Linked DNA regions of Mus musculus. The protein of the gene in region 1 purifies or fractionates together with the protein of each later gene. This does not show direct contact. Links are inferred from orthologs where the notes say so. Each region holds a gene or a part of one and is shown on either strand. Other genes may lie near its edges.

Region 1 (10,551 bases):
CCCAGCACTTGGGAGGCAGAGGCAGGTGGATTTCTGAGTTCAAGGCCAGCCTGGTCTACAGAGCGAGTTCCAGGACAGCCAGGGCTACACAGAGAAACCCTGTCTCAAAAAAAAAAAAAAAAAAAAGAAAAGAAAAAAAGAAAAAAAAAAAAAAGAAAAGAAAACAAGTGAGAACAAACGCCTCGGCAAGGATGTGGGAGAGAGAAGCCCTCATTCACTGCTCCTGGGAGAGCAGAGTGGTGTTGCCACTATGAAACCAGTGTGGCGGTTCCTCAAAGAGCCAGAGGAGATATGTCTACCACACCACCCAGCTAGACCACTCCCAGGCATACCCAGAGGCCCCCCAGAGCCTACTGGAGACATCTGCTCGCTCATGTTCACTGCTGCCCTGCTGACAACACAGGACATGAGTACAACTTAGATGTCCATCCACCATGAAAGCATGGTACCTACATACAACGAAGGTGAATGGAGGAGCCTGAAAACTATAGATACTAAGTGAGGCCGCACAGACCTAGACGGACAGACGGACTCTGCACGCTTTCACTGATATGTGGATCACAGTGTCGAGTAGAGCGTGGGCTTCACTTAACAATGTACCTGCAGAACCAGCTGAATGGACCTGTGGATAAAGTGCCCGACAACCCTGCCAACCTGGAACCACATTAAAAAACAGGTCTGATGACTTGGATATTTCACAGAGGCCATCCCATTAACCATAGCAAAGTGTTCAATATCAGCAATAACCAAGGAAAGTAAGTCAAAGCCTCGAGACACACAATACACATAAAAATAATAAACTGGCCAAAGCAAGTATCTCCCAAGACTGGGAACAAACATAACTCACAAACTGCTAGTAGGGAAGAAACTTAGAAGCTGGCATAGTAGTTCATACCTGTAGATTCCAGCACATAGAAGCTTGAGGCAGGAGGACTGCTGTGTGCTCCAGGTCAGTCTTGGTTATATACTGAGTTCCAGGACAGCTTGAACTACACAGTTAGTTTTTGTCTCAAAAAGCAAACCAACAAGGAAAACCAAAATCAGCCACCATCAAAGACAAAGCAATTCCGTCTGGATGACTGTAACCTAGGAGGCTTGTTGGTATACATGACAGACTATGCCTGAGGAAGGCCAGAGACAGGGTCAGGAGGCAAGCCTGATGATCTGAGGTCCATCCTGGGAACCCACCTTATGCAAGTCTCCTACCGCTACACAAACAAATGAGTAAATGCAATTTAAAAGAGAGAGACTAGGGCTGGAGAGATGGCTCAGTGGTTAAGAGCACTGACTGCTCTTCCAGAGGTCCTGAGTTCAAATCCCAGCAACCACATGGTGGCTCACAACCAACTGTAATGGGATCTGATGCCCTCTTCTGGGGTGTCTGAAGACAGCTACAGTGTACTCAGATAAATACATAAAAATAAATAAATCTTTTAAAAAAGAAAGAGAGACTATGTTTGCAAACGTCCTTGGTAACCCAGTGCCCACCCACTGCTGACTGAACTTACTGTGACCTAATCACACCAGTGACACACTGAGCAAAAGCAGCAAAACCCAGGATACAGACAGGGTGATCTCACACGCATGGAGTTAAACTAAACGGCACTGTGTAGAGATAGATGCACACACACAAGGCATGTGACAAAGAGACGGCCATCCACAGGTCAAGATGGCAGCCTCTGGGGGAGGAGCTCAGGCTTGGAAGGAAGCTCTGACCACACTCCATTTCTTAAGGCTGCAGTGTTTACACTGTGACTTACCTCACTACTATTTGCCAAACTATACATCTGTGCCACATCTGTATATATTATCTTTCAGAGTAAAAAAATGTTCAAAACAAAGATAGTGAAATAAACATACTGATTCTTAGAAAAATTGAAAGAACATAAAAACCATCATTAAAAACAAAACAAAACAAAACAAACAAAAACCCTCCTAACCGGGCTTTTGTTTGTTTCTGGATTGAGATCTTGCCATACTTACTCAAACTCCTAGGCTCAAGAAATCCTCCTGCCTCAGTCTTTCAAGAGCTGGGATGATAGTGTCACCTTGCCTGGATGCAATCCTTTGTCTTCAATTTAAAACCTTGGTTCCCAAACTCCTAACACTGCATATACCAAACACGCTTTGCTTTCAGTAGAGCATATTCTTTTTCATTTTTCTTTCAGTAAAGTCTCACGAAGCCTGGGTGGACCTAAGCTCTTGATCCTCCTGCCCTACCCTATAGAGTGATGAGATTGCAAGCATGCCCCACCTCCACTAAAGCAGGGGGTGAGCTGAGGATGTTTGCAATTGCCTCACCTAAGACTGCAGGTGGAAACAGTCGCCTGGGAACACATGGATGCTTTGTCAAGAATCACCCGAAGATCCTTTTTGCACTTGGGAGAACAAGGCTGAAAGAGGTACCTAACGACCTGGGTGGCGTGTTGAAAACTGCCATTCCTGAGGATCTCTGCTTAGGTAAAACCCCATGACAAAGCAGAACTAGTTTACCAAAGGGACTCACTCGGGTTAAGCATAGGAAAAGGAAGGGCGATGGAGGCCTTAAATTCAGATAAAAGACTTGAAAGGGGCGGGAGGAAATCTCAGTGACGAGCGGTGACCCCTGAAGGATAGAAGAAGTCAGCCTAGGAGCAAGCTCAATTCAAGGCCCAGGAAGTGGTGCTTTGGGAACTAAAGAAAGCTCTAACCTGAGAGTCCAGAGGGAATCTGACTGGCAGGGATCTGACTGACTGGCAGGGATCTGACTGACTGGCAGGGATCTGACTGACTGGCAGGGATCTGACTGACTGGCAGGGATCCGACTGACTGGCAGGGATCTGACTGACTGGCAGGGATCCGACTGACTGGCAGGGATCCGACTGACTGGCAGGGTTCTGACTGACCGGCAGGGATCTGACTGGCAGGGATCTGACTGACTGGCAGGGATCTGACTGGCAGGGATCTGACTAACTGGCAGGGATCTGACTGGCAGGGATCCAACTGACTGGCAGGGATCTGACTGACTGGCACTGGCAGGGATCTGACTGGCAGGGATCCAACTGACTGGCAGGGATCTGACTGACTGGCAGGGATCCGACTGACTGGCAGGCATCAGACTGACTGGCAGGGATCTGACTGACTGGCAGGGATCTGACTGACTGGCAGGGATCTGACTGACTGGCAGGGATCCGACTGACTGGCAGGGATCTGACTGGCAGGGATCCGACTAACTGACAGGGATCTGGTCCCTAAAGGACACTGAGCAGCAATTACTACACATCCTTGGACTGTGCGGGGCAGCTCTTCCAGTGACATCACACGGCGGTCAGAGATAACAGTTGGGTGCAGCACTCACAGCTCTCTCTCCTCTGAGAGTGACAAGAAGGACCCCTCTGGGCAACAGAAGCCTCCAGAGAGTTTAGAATCCTTACTAATGAAGGCCTTGGATTACTTGGCAGAATACTAGAAAAAAATAAACCAATATGTGACTGTGTCAGTCAGGTGGCCAACTTGAGAGATTAGACACACTGGTTAAACATCTCACCCGAAACAAATGGCTCATACACAGGTGTTACTCTAGTGCCCCTTTATGTTAACAACCCCATTACGTTAGGTGAGTAGGGAAACAAATCCCCAAGCTGACAGGAGAATCCGTAGCTCGTTCACACAAAGCCCAGGACAGGCGACTTGGAGAAGGAACAGCGAGCCGGACAGTAGTGGCGCACGCCTTTAATCCCAACACTTGGGAGGCAGAGGCAGGCGGATTTCTGAGTTGGAGGCCAGCCTGGTCTACAGAGTGAGTTCCAGGACAGCCAGGGCTACACAGAGAAACCCTGTCTCAAAACCTCCCTCCCACCCCCACCCCCCCCCCCAAAAAAAGAGAGGCGGCTCATCCATTAATGGAAACTCAGGGCACGAATGCTACTGTGCTATGTGGTAATCCCTCTGTGACTGCGGCCCATTAAAGGAATACGTTTCTCTCTCATCTCCTTTGAAAAGCAGGTGAGGCATTCTTGTTGCCCAGGACACTGTCTGTCTGCCTCTGCGAGCTCAGGCTGATTCACCATCTGCATCTTTCCAGAGGTCCACGGACCTGACCCTCGCACCTGACGATACCCTTAGTCTTATACCACAGCTCCGCATCTGCATCATCACCACCATCATCACCACCACCACTGCTGCCACCATTATCACCACCACCAATGGGATGGGCCAAAAAAGGATTCTACATTCTCCCATGTCTATCTTTATTTCATTGGCTCTCATTCCCATCCCATCCCTCTTCACACTGTCACTTGTTGAAGAGCAGGAGGAAAGGAGGAAATAAGAAAAGGGAGAATATGTCTGCACTGCAACTGGAAAAAGAAAAAAAAAAAAAAACGAAACAAGCCAGAACGACAGACGAGTGACTGGTGGTTGGCCACACAGCTCAATAGCTACCGGTGCCATCATGTAAACGTAATTCCCCTGATAACCATGGAAACCAAAATGAAGGCACCGTGTTGAGGGCTGCTCTCTTTAGATATCTAAAAACAATAAGAGGCCAGAGACCAGAGAGACAAAGAAATCCAGGCATTCCAAGCCAGAGGAAATCCTTTCCTAAAAGCTCTGACAAAGTGTGCCATTTTCTCCCGTCTCCAAATCTCAGCAAGCTTCCACCAGGACTGGAGACCTGACAGGGATCATGAAACAATTCAAGCCTCTCCTGTGTGCTGGTCTCCTGGGGCCAGATGCTATGAGGCCAGCTCTCTGGGAGCTGAAAGCTTATTGTTATCATAAAACATACCGCAAACCAGCAGAGGGGCACAGACACACACAGACATGGACTCACGTGAGCACACGCGCGCGCGCACACACACACACACACACCTGTGTGTGCACATACAGACTTTTATATAACTAACATAGCTAGCTATGCAAACAGCTCCATGGGGGCAGACACCATTGTCTGGATCTTGTTGCCAGAATAAACGAACAGTTGAGTTAGAACATAGGCAAGCTCAAGCATTCTTTCTACTACCCAAGGCCAACAGTGTTGATGGCTGAGCAAAATCAAAGTCCTGGCCTCGTTCTTGGTCTAGCTTCTCTGTGTGCAGGAGACGGCTGGATTCCATGGGCTCCTAGGCATCTTCCAGTAGACAGTCAATCACCCTACTGTATTTTTTTTTTTTTTTTTTTTTTTTTTGTGATAGCACATGCCTGACAGTTTTCTTTCCCCTCAGAGGGAATCTGATACCCATCTGCTCAAGTAAATTAGCGTTCCCATCCTGCCTGACTCATTCGGTAGGAACAACAGGTTCACATGCCAATATGAAACAGAAGGCAAAGGGGGCCTGGGAAAGGGGAGAGGGCTCCTCAGCCAAAACGACACATTTTTCAGAATCACATTCACAGAGGACGGTGTGCTTACTGCGAGAAAGACGTCTATCATGGACTCCTAGATTGCTATTTTAACAATGCTCACACGGAGAGTGCTCTCTAAGGAGTCCTCAACGTTTCCTGCTTAATCCTCACAGCAACCTCGGGCCGAAGAATTCATCTCTACTTTTATTTATTTATTTTTTTTTTCCATTTTTTATTAGGTATTTAGCTCATTTACATCATCTCTACTTTTAACAGAAGCACCACCGACGTGGCTCAAGGTTGCCTGGCTAGTGGGTGGTGGATGGAACTAACACCAACTCCGGAGTTCTGGCTCTCCAAACGGCTCTGCCATCAGTGCAGGAGGGAGGCCGGGCAGGGGGTCGTCCCCTCTTCCTTCAAAGATTTGCGGAAACCGAGTCTCCGCGACTTGTTAAAACCAGACCCACTGGGTGCGCGACTGCACGCTCTCTCCTGCATCCCAGGTGAAGGCTAGCAAACCGCAAAATCGCATTCATTCTCTCAGACACTTGCAAAGCCCTGGGGCTGGAGGCGACCGCGGGTGGGTCCGGGGTGGGGGCGGACGGGGGCACAGCTCTCCCGGAGCTCCGGCAGCCGAGGCCCCCCACCTCCCGCAGTGCCCCCAGGCCCGGTCCCCGCACCCCAGCCAAACGCTGGGCCCACGGAGGGACCGAGCGGCCGGTGAGCCTGGAGCATCCGCGGGCTCCCGAGAAGCCTCCTTCCTGCGCCTCTTACCTCAGGGAGCGGCGCTGCCCGGCCGCGGCCGCGACGCCCTGGAAGCCGCAGGGCTGCCGGAGGACTGCGGCGCTCGGCCACAGCGGGGTCCGACTTCGCCGCGAGCCCCGCCCCCGGTGGCTGTCACGTGACGCGGGTGTAGGGCTGGCCTGCGAGCGCGCGCGGCCGTGAGACTGGAAGGAGGGCGGGGCGAGCGGGGCTCGGCGATGGAGGGCGAGCGTGGCCTCCGAAGGGGTGGGAACAGCATCGTGGGCGGGAACTGCCGGAGGCTCCTAGGGGCCTGGAAGCGGGCGGATCCTTCCCATCACCACTATAGCCTAACAGCACCCTGGGCTCCGTGCATATGAGCACATAGGAGCTGGAGTCACCCTGAGCCCAGCTAGAAGTCAGGAAGGACTTGGGGCCATGGGTGGGTTGTGTGGAAAACGTTTGGCACAACGCAAATGATGTGTGTAGTACCTGTTGCACCAACTACTAGTTATGGGCCCAAGAGAACAAAGCGGTGGTGGCTCCTGTTCTGAAATCCACTCTGTGGCGGAGAGGATAAACCGGAAAAGCTGTTTAAGTCCATATGTATTTAAAATTATATGAAGTACATGAAAAGAGCTCTTTGGTTGAAAACTAGGGTTTGAGGAATGTGATGACCTCATGAGAGTAGCTATGTGAAAGAGGCCAGAGAAAGCTCCTGCGCTGAGGGAGACAAGACGACTCCTAAGAAAAAATATTTTTTTTGTAGATTTTTTTTACTTTTATGCGTATTTTATGCACCTGATTTATGTGCACACAGGGGGCCCTGGAAGCCAGAAGAGGGAGCCGGAGCCCTTGGAACTTGAATATAGACAGTTGTGAGCCACCAAGTGGATCCTTTGCAAGAGCAATAAACCTCCTGACTAGTAAGCTGTCTCTCCAACCCTGTATCCCACCATCCCGAGGTCTTAGATAAAAGGGTATTAGAGGTCATCAGTATTTCATAAGCCATGATAAAGGAAGCCATTGAAGGGGGAGAATGCAGGTGTTCGATACTCTGTGCTGAGAAGACAAGAGAAGTAGAGACTGGCCTGAAGTACTGGAAGTGGATATGGGGGCACACACACGGATCTGAGACAGTTTTGCAGTAAAGTCAAATTTGGGGGGGGTGTTGTTTTATGCAGTGGTTAAGGCAAATTCAGGGTCTTGCACATGCTGAGCAAGTGCTACCCCCCTGTACCCCCTGTACCCCCCTACATCCCAGCCTTCAACGATTCATTTGTTTAAACCCCAAACAAAACACCTAGACCCAAACCCAACAATTGAATGCTGACCGAGAGCTGTTCAGCAAGCACACAGATGTAGTGGAAAGGCCATGCTTAGACGTCGCTTACGTTTGGCAAACCGATCGCACGTCTAATCCTTTGAAAAGTGGCCCATTGTATGAAACCAGCAGGCTGAATATGAATTTCAATACCCAATTAAAAGCCTGAGTTCCTGGATTTGTGCTATCAAACATTATTGTTTGTGTTGGCATTTCTCTAAAAAGGTTAGGACATTCAAAGGACAACAATGGGGCCCGTCTAACACAGCATGCTGTCTGTCTTCTTCATCTGTCCAAAGGTGCCACGGGGGCGGGGGGATTTTATTTCTTGTATAAACATTTAAACGTCAAGACAGTGGCGTTTTATTTAAGATTTACTTATTTTTATTTTATGCGTAAGTGTGCTTTGGCTACATGCATGTCTGTGCACAAGAACAGTATTTGTAAGCGACTGGTTGCTCCTCTCTTCTTACCCTCATCTGTCTGGCGCAGGCCTCCATCCCACCATGTGTGTAATGCTCTTGTCTCTTGACTTCTCTACTTCATTTGACTGGAGTGGGCTTGCTCACCTTAGCAGCCTGGCATGTCATTCGTATTTATAGCAAATGAACGAGGGCACATACAGTCTCCACGGCCATGTAGACTTTTGCTTTATAGAGAGATTAGACTCAGGCAGAGTCATTTGGCCACAGGTAACCCAACAGCTATCATCCTTTTCGGCTGCCTGCGGGTCTCAGCTCTCTTCCTACCTTACGGGGGGTCTTCAATGATGAGCTTGTTGAGAACCAAACCAGGTATTTTGTTATGGAAGTTGAAACTCTAGATCGGTTCTGTCTTCCCACTTAACTCTAATTGTACAAATAAACATTCCCTGTGCAGAACTGAGGCCTACATGTTATGTAACAGCTCCAAAGCAACACCAGCAGCTTGACTAGAGCATCATTGGGTACCCTGAAAGCTGTGAGCTTGCATCCCTCCAGTGGGATCCAATGGTCAGCAAATAGTGGTGTTCCAGTTACCTGGCATCCTAGCCTGATTCTCTAGATTTCCTGGTGATCCTCAAATTCCCTTTATATTTCTGTCTTAGTTAGGGTTTTACTGCTGTGAACAGACACCATGACCAAGGCAAGTCTTATAAAAAACATTTAATTGGGGCTGGCTTACGGGTTCAGAGGTTCAGTCCATTATCATCAAGGTGGGAGCATGGCAGTATCCAGGCAGGCATGGCACAGGCAGAGCTGAGAGTTCTATGTCTTCATCCAAAGGCTGCTAGTGGAAGACTTCCAGGCAACTAGGGTGAGGATCTTATACCCACATCCACAGTGACACACCCATTCCAACCAGGCCACACCTATTCCAACAAGGCCACACCTTCAGATGGTGCCACTCCCTTGTCCAAGGATATACAAACCATCACAATTTCTAATAAAATATTTTTCCTCACGACTGCCAAAGTTGGATTTTAATGTTTACAACTAAAAACTCAGACTCCCATAATTTATATTAGGAAGCTGAAGCTGTTACTCAGGACTGTGAACTCCAGATTCTAGTGTTCTTTCCACATGCATATCTCTATGTTCCAACAACCCACAATATTTACATTATGTATCCATGTCTCCATATCAGTTTCTTAACTGAATTTTTATGGAAGCTGAAAATAAACACATTGAGCGGCTGCCTGGGGAGGCGGCTGCCAATAGAACATCCAGTTTCAAAAGCAGAAATATCATTGTACATCTGCTATATCTTTTTTTTTCTTTCTTTCTATGTCTCTGTGGTATATGTATGTGTGTGTGTGTGTGTGTGTTTGTACATGTATGTACATGTCCATGGGAGGAGAAAGGGCCAGAAGTCACCGTTGAGCATCTTTCTCAAAAGCTCTTCGTCTTCATTTTTTCTCCCTTTATTGAAAGTAGATTGTTTTCTCATACAATATATCCTGGCTATGGTTTCCCCTCCCGCTACTCCTCCCAATTCCTCCCACATCCCCTACCATCCAGATCCATTCTCTTTTGTCTCTCATTAGAAACAACAACAACAGACTGGAGAGGTGGCTCGGAGGTTAAGAGCACTGACTGCCCTGACAGAGGTCCTGAGTTCAATTCCCAGCAACCACATGGTGGTTCACAACCATCTGTAATGGGATCTGATGCCCTCTTCTGGTGTGTCTGAAGACAGTGACAGTGTATTCACATATATAAAAATAAATAAATCACATATATTAAAAAAGACAACAGCATCAACAAACAGGCTTTTGTCCCTAAGGGACAATAATAAAATATAACAAAATAAAATATAGTAACTTAAAAAAGCCAAACCCTATCTATCACATTGGAGATGGACAGGAGGAAAGACTTATTTATTTTTATGTACATGAGTACACTGTGGCTGTCTTCAGACACCAGAAGAGGGCACTGGATCCCAGTACAGATGATTGTGAGTCACCATGTGGATGCTGGGAATTGAACTCAGGACCTCTCGCAGGGCAGTCAGTGCTCTTAACCACTGAGCCATCTCCAGCCTTCATAGGAGTTTTGGTCACATTGTTTTCCTGGTGCATCTGCTCTGGCTCCTACACTCTTCCGCATCCTCTTCTGAGGGGTTCCCTAAGACCAAGACCAGAGGGGCAGGATTTGGTGGAGACATCCCACTCGGGGCGGAGTGTTCCAAGGTCTCTCACTCTCTGCATAATGTCTGTCTGTGACTCTCTGCTGTATGTGTTTCCATCTGCTGCTGAAGGAGGCTTCCCCAGCGGCTGAATCAGACACTGAGCTAAGTATAGCAGAATGTTCCCAGGAGTCATTTTATTACTACATTTTTTAATAGTCTAGTAGCATTCTATTTTACCTTATATCTAGCCTCTGGTTCTTGGGCACCCAAGCCATGTCAGGTATGGGTCCTTTCTGTGGGACGGGCCCTAAGTGAAACCAGCTATTTGGTTGGTTACTCCCATAAGCTTTGTGCCACCACTGCCTGGCACATCTTTCAGAATCCCACTGTCCATCAAAGGGCTTGTGGCTGGCTTGGTGTTTGTTCGTATGTCTTTTTTGGTGGCATGCAGAGTACCTTCCTGTAACCAAAGCCGCTGGAACATAGAAGTGAAGGCTCTGTAGGTCTCAGCTCAGCTTCTCCATGTCCAGTGGATTGTGTAGGTTTTTTCT
Region 2 (10,453 bases), on another chromosome or scaffold:
AAAGTGAAAGAATACAGTTGCAAGCCATATACCAACAAAACATCAGTACTTGCACTATACAATGGAACTTTTAATACTTGACAATTTCAAAGAATCCAACAGGGAAGCAGGCAAAGGGATAACTAATGCTATACTCAAGGCCTAGCAGTAGCCTGGTAGGTTGTCTAAGCACCAAGGGATGGCACCACACCCATGCATTTGTGGCACTCAATGGATTATTTAAAAAGGGGAGGGACACAAAGTGGGCGGGCTATATATGGTGTGTGGGGTGAGATAGAGGAGGAGGAGGAGTGAGTGGGGAAGTAAGGTCGCTACATTTTGACTTAGCAGTATATTCTCAGGGCTGACCATTAGGTACTAGAGAACAGCTGGCGTGATCTGTCCCTGCTCCCAGCTTTACTCAGTGACCTGTAGTTGTGAGCAAGGCTGAGGCCTAGGCCCTGCCCATGCTGGTATTTTCTTTAGTGTCTGCCTTATTCAGCTCACATTTGGGTGGTAGCCTTGATGAGACTTTAGGGATATAACTTCTGATGTTGCTAGGAGACACCATCACTTAGCAAACTCCCTGATCCTCTGGCTCATACAAACTTTCTGCCCTCCTCTGGCGATACTTAGGTTGGGGGGGGGGGGGACTCAACAGATTATAGTTAAGTGTGTGTGTGTGTGTGTGTGTGTGTAAGAGAGAGAAGAGAGAGAGAGCAAACATAAAAAAGAGGCCACATATTTTAAGGAGAACAGCAAGGGGTAGACGAGCACATTTAGAGAAAAGGGAAGGGAAAAACTGTTATTAAAAGTACAACCGTGGTGCTGGAAAGATGGCTCAGAGGTTAAGAGCACTGACTGCTCTTCCAGAGGTCCTGAGTTCAATTCCCACTAACCACATGGTGGCTCACAACCATCTGTAATGGGATCAGACGCAATCTTCTGGTGTGTCTGAAGACAGCTATAGTGTACTCATTTTTAAATGTTAAAAAAAAGTACAACCTTAAACCAGGCAATCCATGCCTTTAGTCCCAGAACTTGGGGGAGAAAAAAAAAGCATAAATATAGTAAACAAACAAACAAAAAGTTGCTAATGGGAATGTCAAATGGTAGGTAGCCCTTGTGGAAATCTTTGAAATCTAAGCATGCAAGTACTATATAACCTGGCAATGGTATTGTTAGGCATGGAAAGGTACACCCATACATGGAAAGCATCAGAGGTCAAACATACATCTATGGCATGCTATATATACTACTCACTAGTGAAAAGAACCAGATTATTGATTAAGGATATAAATCTCATGACTCTCCAAGAATTAGGCGAGTGGTAGGAGGCAATCTAAAATGGTTACAGTCTGTGTCCCCATTTACTTAGCTTTCTTGGAATGACAAGAGACCCGAGAAACACATCAGTGAGAGCTAAGAGGTGGCTGTAAGTATAAAAGGGTAACATAAGTGCCCCTAGTGGGACAGAACTGCTCTATGACTTACTTGCCTACAGTGATCCCAAAAAGCAGCAACACATGCTACCAGTGTGCAGAACTAAATAAAACACACAAGAAGTGCATGCTAAAGGTGCTGAAATAGTGAGGCCGGCAGATGCCTTAGCAGTGAAGAGAGCCTGCTGCTCTTGCAGACAAGAGGTTAGCTCCTTGTACCTGTGTTGGGCAGCTCACAATGCCTATGACTCCTGTTCCAAGGCATCGAGGCCCTCTTCTGGCTTGGGAAAGCATCTGCACACATGTGGCAGGCACACATACATACAAATCAAGAGTAAAAATAAAATTTTAAAAAGAAAAGAAAAAATGGTGGAATGTGAATATGGACACCCTGTATTTATTTCAACTTCTTAGTTGTCCTGTTATATACTGATTATTTTTGATAATAACATTGGTTGAAATCAGATTTGGGGTATTATTCCTAATAACTGTATGACAATCTAAAACAATACCAGAATCCATAATCAAAAAAGGAAAATGTATAAAATGTATGATATCAGCCAGCAGCAGGAATGGAAAAACAAAGCTTATTAATTTTCCTAAGGAAAGTCAAGGAGGGGAGGAGAACAAGAAACGCCACAAAGAACCAACAGTAGAGCCCAAGGTATAGTTGTACAACCTTTAATCCCAGCACTCGTGAGGCAGAGGCAGGTTGACCTCCCGGGCAGTCAAGGCTACACAGAGAAACCAAACAAACAGCCAATAATAAAATATGATGATCTCTTCTGCCCCTATTAAGGCTTAACTTTGAGGGGATTTTGTTCATCCCAACTTAAATCTTACTAGTTTAATAAACTATATGTCCATGTGTCTCACTAAAACCACGCCACCCATCCTCTTAGTCTACAATTTCATAGAATAAGTGATGTCCTCTTAACCATCACATCCTGAAGAACAGGAGAGTGGAATGAATTATAAATAGAATGAGTGAGATTTCTGCATATGTTTTTTGGTTGATTGGTTGGTTTTTGTTGTTGTTTGGGTTTTGGGTTTTGGGTTTGGTTTGGTTTGTTTTTTTTTTTTTTTTTTTTTTTTTTTTTTTTTTTTTTTTGAGGCAGGGTTTCTCTGTGTAGCCCTGGCTGTCCTGGAACTCACTCTGTAGACCAGGCTGGCCTCGTACTCAGAAATCCACCTGCCTCTGCCTCCCAAGTGTTGGGATTAAAGGTGTGTGCCACCACCGCTCAGCTCTGCATATGTTTTTAAAATATATTTTTAATTATTATTGTTTAAGACAGGGTCTATGTTGTCCTGGCTATTCTGGAACTTTCTACATAGACTGGGCTGGCTTTGCAGCACAAATCTGCCTGCTTCTGCCTCCCAAAAAGTGCTGGGCTTAAAAGCATGTACCACCATAACCAGCTAAATATTTTTATTTTATGGACATTGGTGTTTTAGTTACATGTTTGTCTGTGGCTCACAGGCATGTCTAGTGCTCACAGAGGCCAGAAGAGGGTGCTGAATCCCTTGAGACTGGGAGCTACAGAGGGAAGAGAGCCACTATGTGTGTGCTGAGAATTGAACCTTGTTCCTCTGAAGAGCAACCACTGCTCTTAACCTCTAAACCATCGCTCCAGGCCCTCTGTTTACACTTTTAAAGTTACTAGCTAATTACAATTTTAAGGCAGTATGTTCACACCCTTACAAGATTCTAAAGGTCATGAGTATCTTCAACCCAGTGTGGTACCCATCCATACCTTTCATCTGCGAGTAGAAATTAACCTAATATTTGTAAAACTCACTCCCTCTGAATTTATGCACTTGAACAGTCGGAATGAATTTAAGAATTAATCATCTTGTTTTGGCCTTTGTTTTGTTTTGTTTTTGAGACAATGGTTCTCCGTGTTGGCTTTGGCTCTCCTGGAACTCACTGTGTAAAGCAGGCTAGCCTTTAATTTAGATATCTGACTCAAACTCAGATTTGCCAGCCTCTGCTCCCCATCTCTGCCTTAGCCTCCACCTCCTCTGCCTGGGCCCCGCCTCCGCCTCAGTCCCCCGCCGCCTTGGCCTTGGCCTTGGCCTTGGCCTTAGCCTCTGCCTCACACCACCTTGACCTACACCTATACCTAAGCCTCCCCAGTGCTGGGATTAAAGTCCTGGACCACTACCCGAGCTAAGAACTAATTAATACTCTATTGATTAAAGCTAGTCTATGAAAACTTTGAGATGATATTCTATCATCTTTGAGATGATATTCTATATATGATATAACAAGATTCAGCCCCAGCCTTAATGTGAAGTGCACTAAAATACATATGTCTTCATAAAAAAAATCTTAGTTTTTTAAAAAACGGAAGCCAAAAGGAGGGGATTTATGGATCATCCTGCCAACCATACAGTCACTTAATTTATATATGTGAAAACTAAGAAAAGTGCCCTGTTCAAGGTGTATATAGCTAGTATAGCTGAGAGGCTGGAGTTGGAGCATCTCCAGAAGTCTGGATTCAGAACAAGATTTTGTTCTTCCTCCACCCATCACATCTCTACCCAACACAGTAAAACTCTTTATATCTGATTGATGCCAAGGCCCTTTATCCCAATTTGCACATATATTGACAATATAATACTGGTTGCTCCATGGAAATGGCAGAGATCATAAATTTGAACAGGAGTCTACCATGTTTCACACTTTTGCACACTCCGCTGAAAAGATGAGCTATGTTTGCAATTTAAGGAAAGAGGCCTCACATTTCAAATTTTGCTTGACCTGCTCAGTAGCAGCACTGTAATTGATCTCCACTTGGTGGTTTATACATTAAGAATATTTGGAAGCCTTGCTTACTGCAAGTACAAAAAGAAAAAAAAACAAAAAACTAAAGTTACAAGTGCAGGAAATGGCTTTCTTGGGTTAACTATCTGTAAAAACATGTCACTAAGCATGAATTTACAGGTTCAAGAGACAAAATATGAGAAGGAACCTCGGTTATGCTTGAATCCAACTGCATGACAGCTGAGCATATTTCCACAGAAGAGGAAACTTAGTGGTTGATTAAAACCATGAACCAGTAAAGCAAACTGCTTACTTCTTCAACAAGGTTCATTTCCCCTTATTCCCATCCCTACCGTCGTTTCTACTGAGTGAGAATTGACGATTTTTTTAAGAGGAAAAGTACGAATGAGCAAATTAATTTCAAAAGGATGGAAAAATGTCTTCGAAGGAGATGCTAGAGTAAAAGGAGAAATGACGTCTGATTTCAAATATGTAACCAGTTAGGCAATGAATCACATTCTCCTAGGTTTTTCTGTCTATAGACATCAGCCAGCCACAGATCTTTTCGGTACTCGAATGAGAGGAAGAGGAAGTGAATAAACCTAATATTAACTATACAGCACCTACTGATCGTGGAGATAAAGACGGGAAGAACACAGGGTACAAGCTGCAGCTATGATCCAGCTGTTTGCTAACATACGTAAAGGTATGGATGCTGAGAGAGTATCTATCGAAAGCGAAGGCACCCTCCCCAAATTCAAGAAAGCAGCTGTTTCTAGAACCAAAGACACCACCGCCGCCGCCGCCACCACCACCCGCGAGCGCCCGGACCCTGTTACAGAGTGTCAAGGGAGGGGACAAAATGGAGCTGAGGTCTAGGGGCGACCTAAAGGTCGTTTGGAGGTCTAGCAGGCACTTGGTGTGCTCAAGTCAACTGAGTCTTGGCAAAGCCCGGTACCCCCAGGAGGAAGAGTTCTCTCAGGCTCTCAGGGTACAGCGGGGGTACAGGGAAGAGCCAGGTGGGGTTCTGGAGGATCCCAGAAAGCATCAGAGGAGATAGTGACGGTGGTTCTCTCCATGAGCCAGCGGCCGCAGCCGGAAAGCCGAGCGCCCACCCCCACCCCCCAAACCCCGACCTCCAGCCGGCTCAGGTGAGGATCCGGGAGCACGTCAGGAATAGGGGACTCTCCGGGGCAAGGGCGCAGCAGCCGCATCCTCCCCAGCCTAGGATCACTCACCGAAGGTGCTGCCTCGCTCGCTACGAGTCTGCCACTGGGTCCCGGCCTTAAGAGGAAGGAAGCTCCTGGAGAGGAGCTCGCGTGCCCGCTAGCTCTGGAGCTGCCTGGCAAGGAGGGGCGAGCCGCGGAGACCAGTGGAAAAAAAAAGAGAGAGAGAGGGAGAGAGCCGCAGCGGCGCGCGCGCAACCCGGACAGCCAGCGGAGGCGGGGTCCGGCGCGAGCCCGGAAAAGACGAGCCCGGAGGGGCGGGCGGAGCGGGGGAGCTCGGTGGTGTGGCTGAGCCCGCCGAATCGCAGGCGGCCTCTGGCTCGGCCCACCCACACGCCCGCCTCCGCTCACTAAGGACGTCACCGCCAAAAAGGCGGAGCCCGATCGGGCTTGCAGCTGCTGCAAAGGAGGAGGGCTGCTTCCGAAGGGTCGCAGGTCGCCTAAAGCCTCCCTTGAGCCCGCAGCCACCATGCCGCTCCCGCAGTGCTGGGCAAAATAGCCCACGAGGGCTTAGCGCCCAGTAGTCTAGAGCCGCAGAACTGGCCCACGCCCTAGCGGGCTACCCGGGACTCCACCCAGGATGAAAGTTCCCCCGGGGTCATCTTCCAGCTGCCCTTAGTTAGATACCTATCTTTGGACTGCCTCGTGCTTCCTATGGGAGAGAGATCTTAACCTAGCTCCTGAAAGCCAAAGCCTTCTATCCTTTTATCTGTTGCCTTGAGCTGTATTAAGATTCCCTGCTCACTCGGGCTTATGAAATATTTCCTGAAGGCAGGGTTTTGCGCGTCACTCAGCAAAAGAGCCCACAACTGATAAAAAGTCAGTGCAGTACCGTGAGATTCTATTGCTTCTGAGACTTCTTGATAAAGGCCATTTTAATCCCCCCAAGAATTGAGAAATTATTGTTCGTAATAAATTCCAAAAGGTATCTCAGGACTTCAAGACAAAACTGTAATTGCGAATAATAAGCCACAACAAACTACCAAGAATAAGTTGCCAGAAGAAATTCTATTCTTCCAGTTCCATGACCGGCTGCTTTTTTGCTTCCTGTTACGGCTGTTTTACTAGCTACTTTTCATTTCTCTTACAGAATGACTGTGTCTGCTACACACACGTACAATAGCTTGCCTCACATTGCTGGCTTCAGTAGTGCTTTAGGCTTTGTGTGTCATAATCATCTGGGATGTTTGTTCCAATGGGAATACCTGGAGAAATAATCCTCAGATGTTTTGATGTGGGTTTTGATTTGGTGAAATTTTTTAATTTTGGATTTTTAAGAAGCACCCCTGCCGGGCGTGGTAGCGCACGCCTTTAATCCCAGCACTCCGGAGGCAGAGGCAGGCGGATTTCTGAGTTCGAGGCCAGCCTGGTCTACAAAAGTGAGGTCCAGGACAGCCAGGGCTACACAGAGAAACCCTGTCTCGAAAAGCCAAAAAAAAAAAAAAAAAAAAAAAGAAGAAGAAGAAGAAGAAGAAGCACCCCGAATGACAGTATTAGTGTGCCTGGCTGAGAGCAGAAATGTCCAGCTTGTTTGAATGTTGTTCTACAGCTGTAGCACTCATTTCATTTCCAATAGAGCCACCAACTTGGGTATAAGGCACTCATGTGCTTTTCCTTTCACAAGATTGACCTAGAAAGTTCAGGACTTCAAACAACAAACTTAATTGTCATCTTTATTTTTATGAGACCTTGTTGTAATGCCAGAAACAGATAATTATTAGTTGGCTATATAGTCCACTAGGTACCTACAGTGTACAGAAACCTGTCATTTATCCCAGAGTTAATACCAAAAAAAAAAAAAATTGAAGGAACAAACCATCTATTCCTCCAACAAACCTAGAGTTTCGTAATGGAATTAAAACAAAAGTACCACACAGACCCAGTGTTCGATATAAATCAACCTGTTAGCCCAAGCAGAAAAAGAACTTGTAATATAAATACCTTTTCTAGTTTCCTTCATCATCAGTCACGTAGCCCAGACATTTTTAATTAACTCTTCTGAACTCAGTAGTCCTCAGCTTACAGAAGTCCCTCAAAATTTACAAGGACTAAATAGAGGAGAAAAGCTATCAGGTTTTGAGTGTGAGTGTGTGTGTGTGTATGTGTGTGTGTGTGTGTGTGTGTGTGTGTGTGTGTGTGTATCGCACACATATATATCGGACCAAGAAGTTACTTGTATTTTCAAAATCTTTATCACTTAAACTATTAATTAGTGCCCACAATGTCCTGGTCAGCTTTATCACCTACCAGATCTTTTCCTTCATATTTAACCACACCCAGGATAAAGAAAAAACATTACTCCAACAAGAGGTAAAATAGCCAGGCATGGTGGCACACTTCTGTAATCCTGGTACTTGGGGGGCAGAAGCAGGTGTAGATCCATGAGTTCAAGGCCAGCCTGCTCTACAGAGTGAGTTCCAGGACAGCCAAGGCTACACAGAGAAACCCTGTCTTGAAAAATCAAAGAGAGGAGGGGGGAGGGGAGACACTGTGTCAAAGAAGAACAAAACTAAGAGCAGGGAGAAGTGGCACAGGTCTGTGATCCCAGCTCTGTACACTAAGACAGATCTAAGTTTGAGGCCAGCCTGAGCTACAAAAGGAAAGCCTATCTCAAGATCACACTATATATATTGACAATGAAAGGAAAGACTGGAGGGAGGGAGGGAGGGACAAAAGGGAAGCAAGAGAAGCCATCTAAGACTTATGACCCCAGAGCGAAAGACTTATGACCCCAGAGCAAACATTCCTCCCTCCCGGGGCAGCTGTCTGAGGTTTGAGAGCAGTTACAACTTTTTTATGCCTTTTGAGGATGGAAGATTACTGTCTTTGAAAGATGAGGAGACAGATGCAAATGAAACAATGTGTCCAGTCACAAACCTAACTAGTAATAGAGCTTGGAATTCCTACCACTCCCAGAGGCTTGCTGGAAAGTAGACTCAATAACATCCCACCAAAATCAAGTTAGAGACAAAGGAAAAGGAAGGAAAATACAAGCTGCAACTCTCAAGATACAAAATACAACACAAAAAAAAGGCATAGGCATGACAAAAAAAAAAGAAAAAAAAACAGAAGAGGTACTGAGAAGAAGGACTGAGGACAGTAGGACAGAGAGACAAATAAGTGCATACACTATTTTATACATATACAAATATGTATAAAATGTCCTAATGAAACCTACTTCTAAGTATGCTAATGTTAAAAATTCATTTCAAAGCCCTTTTTCAAAAAAGTATAGAAAAATAAAGCTTCTAGAAGCTAAATGGAATTGAACAAGGCCGCTCTGTTAGCAGATTTTTAAATGGATATTTAGTGCCTGGTAGCTTTGCTCTCGTGTAATAAGAAGCTGAAACAGATAGCCAGCCTGCTCTTGGCATTAGTTATTTATGGAAGGACAGAAAACAACTGTTCTTCACTACGTACCAAGTCTGCATCTTAAACTTACTTCTTGAGTTACTAGAATAATAATTTCCTCCTGGAGCCCAAATACAAGCAGCAGGACTTTGTGATAATATTTGAATATACAAATTATGTTAGAGTTTGCCATTAACAAACTTTATTTTTACAGACCTGATAACCAGGCAAAATATTTTCTTTAGTGGTGTGTGTGAAGCAACTAGTGAAACCAGAAACCTCAGGAGGTGATCTCACTGGGAACGAAATAATAAACTAAACTTTTTGACTTTTCAAAAGTGCTCAAAATCAGGGCTGAAGGCACAGTCCAGTAAGTCTCTGGGTTTGGTCTCCTCTATCAAATGAAAACCACAAAAATGGTCAAAGGTATACTGATTAGATATAAGTATTATTTTGAACATTGTTTTATCTTTTCTCATAGTCATTTATTTTTATCCTGATATATTTCACTGGTCTTCAGACTCACTGCACAAACCTAAGCAAATGGAAATCCGTCTAATGCTTTAAAATAGGACGTTTAATGATGCTGATTTGTCTAGTGACTTGGGTATTGCCAAGTTAATCTATAAAGACAGTAGGTTTTAAAATATATAATATTGTTACTAATTTCTGGAGCATTTCAAACACATGGAGAGTTTGATCATATTCACCCCAACACACACACACAAACACACACACTTCGCCATAACCCCTCCTGGATCTACCTCTCCACTTCCTATCCCCTCTCCCAACTTCATCTCTTGTTTTTATAACCCACTGATTCCTATGGGTACCACTTATGTACTCATGTGGTGGGACCAGTCCCTAGGGCTTGCTCAGTTTACTAGGGGCCACATCTTTTTTTTTTTTTTTTTTTTTTTTTTTTGGTTTCGAGACAGGGTTTCTCTGTATAGCCCTGGCTGTCCTGGAACTCACTCTGTAGACCAGGCTGGCCTTGAACTCAGAAATCTGCCTGCCTCTGCTTCCCAAGTGCTGGGATTAAAGGCGTGCGCCACCACACCCAACTAGGGGCCACATCTTTTAAAACAACCAGCTCTCCTTACTCCAGAATCTATCAATTGGCAATACCCTACCCCACCAACCCCAAGGCCACATGGACTAGCTAGAAATCATACAGGCACTCAGAGCTGCAGGCACTAGAGTTTTAATGGAACTTTATTTCAGTTTCTCTTTCGAGACTCCTTCAATGTCCTTTTTAAAGCTAACTCCGAAGCTCCCTAAATAAATATTGGCAGTGTTCCTTGACAAAAAATGCTTTAGCAACTTTCCAAAGAAGGAAAAAAATATATTGTTCATAAAGCCAGGAAGAAGGGGGAGAGGGAGGGAGGGAGAGAAAGAAAAGAGATGGGGATAAAGAGGGGAAGGGGGGAGAGGAGGGGAGGGGGAGGGAAGGGGAAGAGAGGAGGAGGGAGAGAGAGAGTGAGAGATGCTAGAAGTCATCAAATCTGTAAGAAAGTTATCTTTGTGCTTTTAGTCTGATCATATTAGATAAAAAGATCACCAGTCTTTTAAAAAAAAAAAAAAAAAGATTTATTGCCAGGCAGTGGTGGCACACGCCTTTAATTACAGGACTTGGGAGGCAGAGGCAGGCAGATTTCTGAGTTTGAGGACAGCCTGGTCTACAGAGA

What was found.
Region 2: the proteins of Fbxo10 (region 1) and Acsl4 purify together in Homo sapiens (affinity purification with western blotting; 3 studies listed by BioGRID, with this or other methods). This does not show direct contact. The link is inferred for Mus musculus from reciprocal best matches to the Homo sapiens genes FBXO10 and ACSL4.

What each region holds. Positions count from the first base shown.
Region 1 is NC_000070.6:45,078,391-45,088,941, forward strand, and holds the start of Fbxo10 (F-box only protein 10), read right to left. Parts: upstream 6,215-10,551; 5' UTR 6,100-6,214; intron 1-6,099. UniProt on the Homo sapiens protein: Substrate-recognition component of the SCF (SKP1-CUL1-F-box protein)-type E3 ubiquitin ligase complex. Mediates the ubiquitination and degradation of BCL2, an antiapoptotic protein, thereby playing a role in apoptosis by controlling the stability of BCL2.
Region 2 is NC_000086.7:142,384,879-142,395,331, forward strand, and holds the start of Acsl4 (long-chain-fatty-acid--CoA ligase 4), read right to left. Parts: upstream 5,658-10,453; 5' UTR 5,427-5,657; intron 1-5,426. UniProt on the Homo sapiens protein: Catalyzes the conversion of long-chain fatty acids to their active form acyl-CoA for both synthesis of cellular lipids, and degradation via beta-oxidation. Preferentially activates arachidonate and eicosapentaenoate as substrates.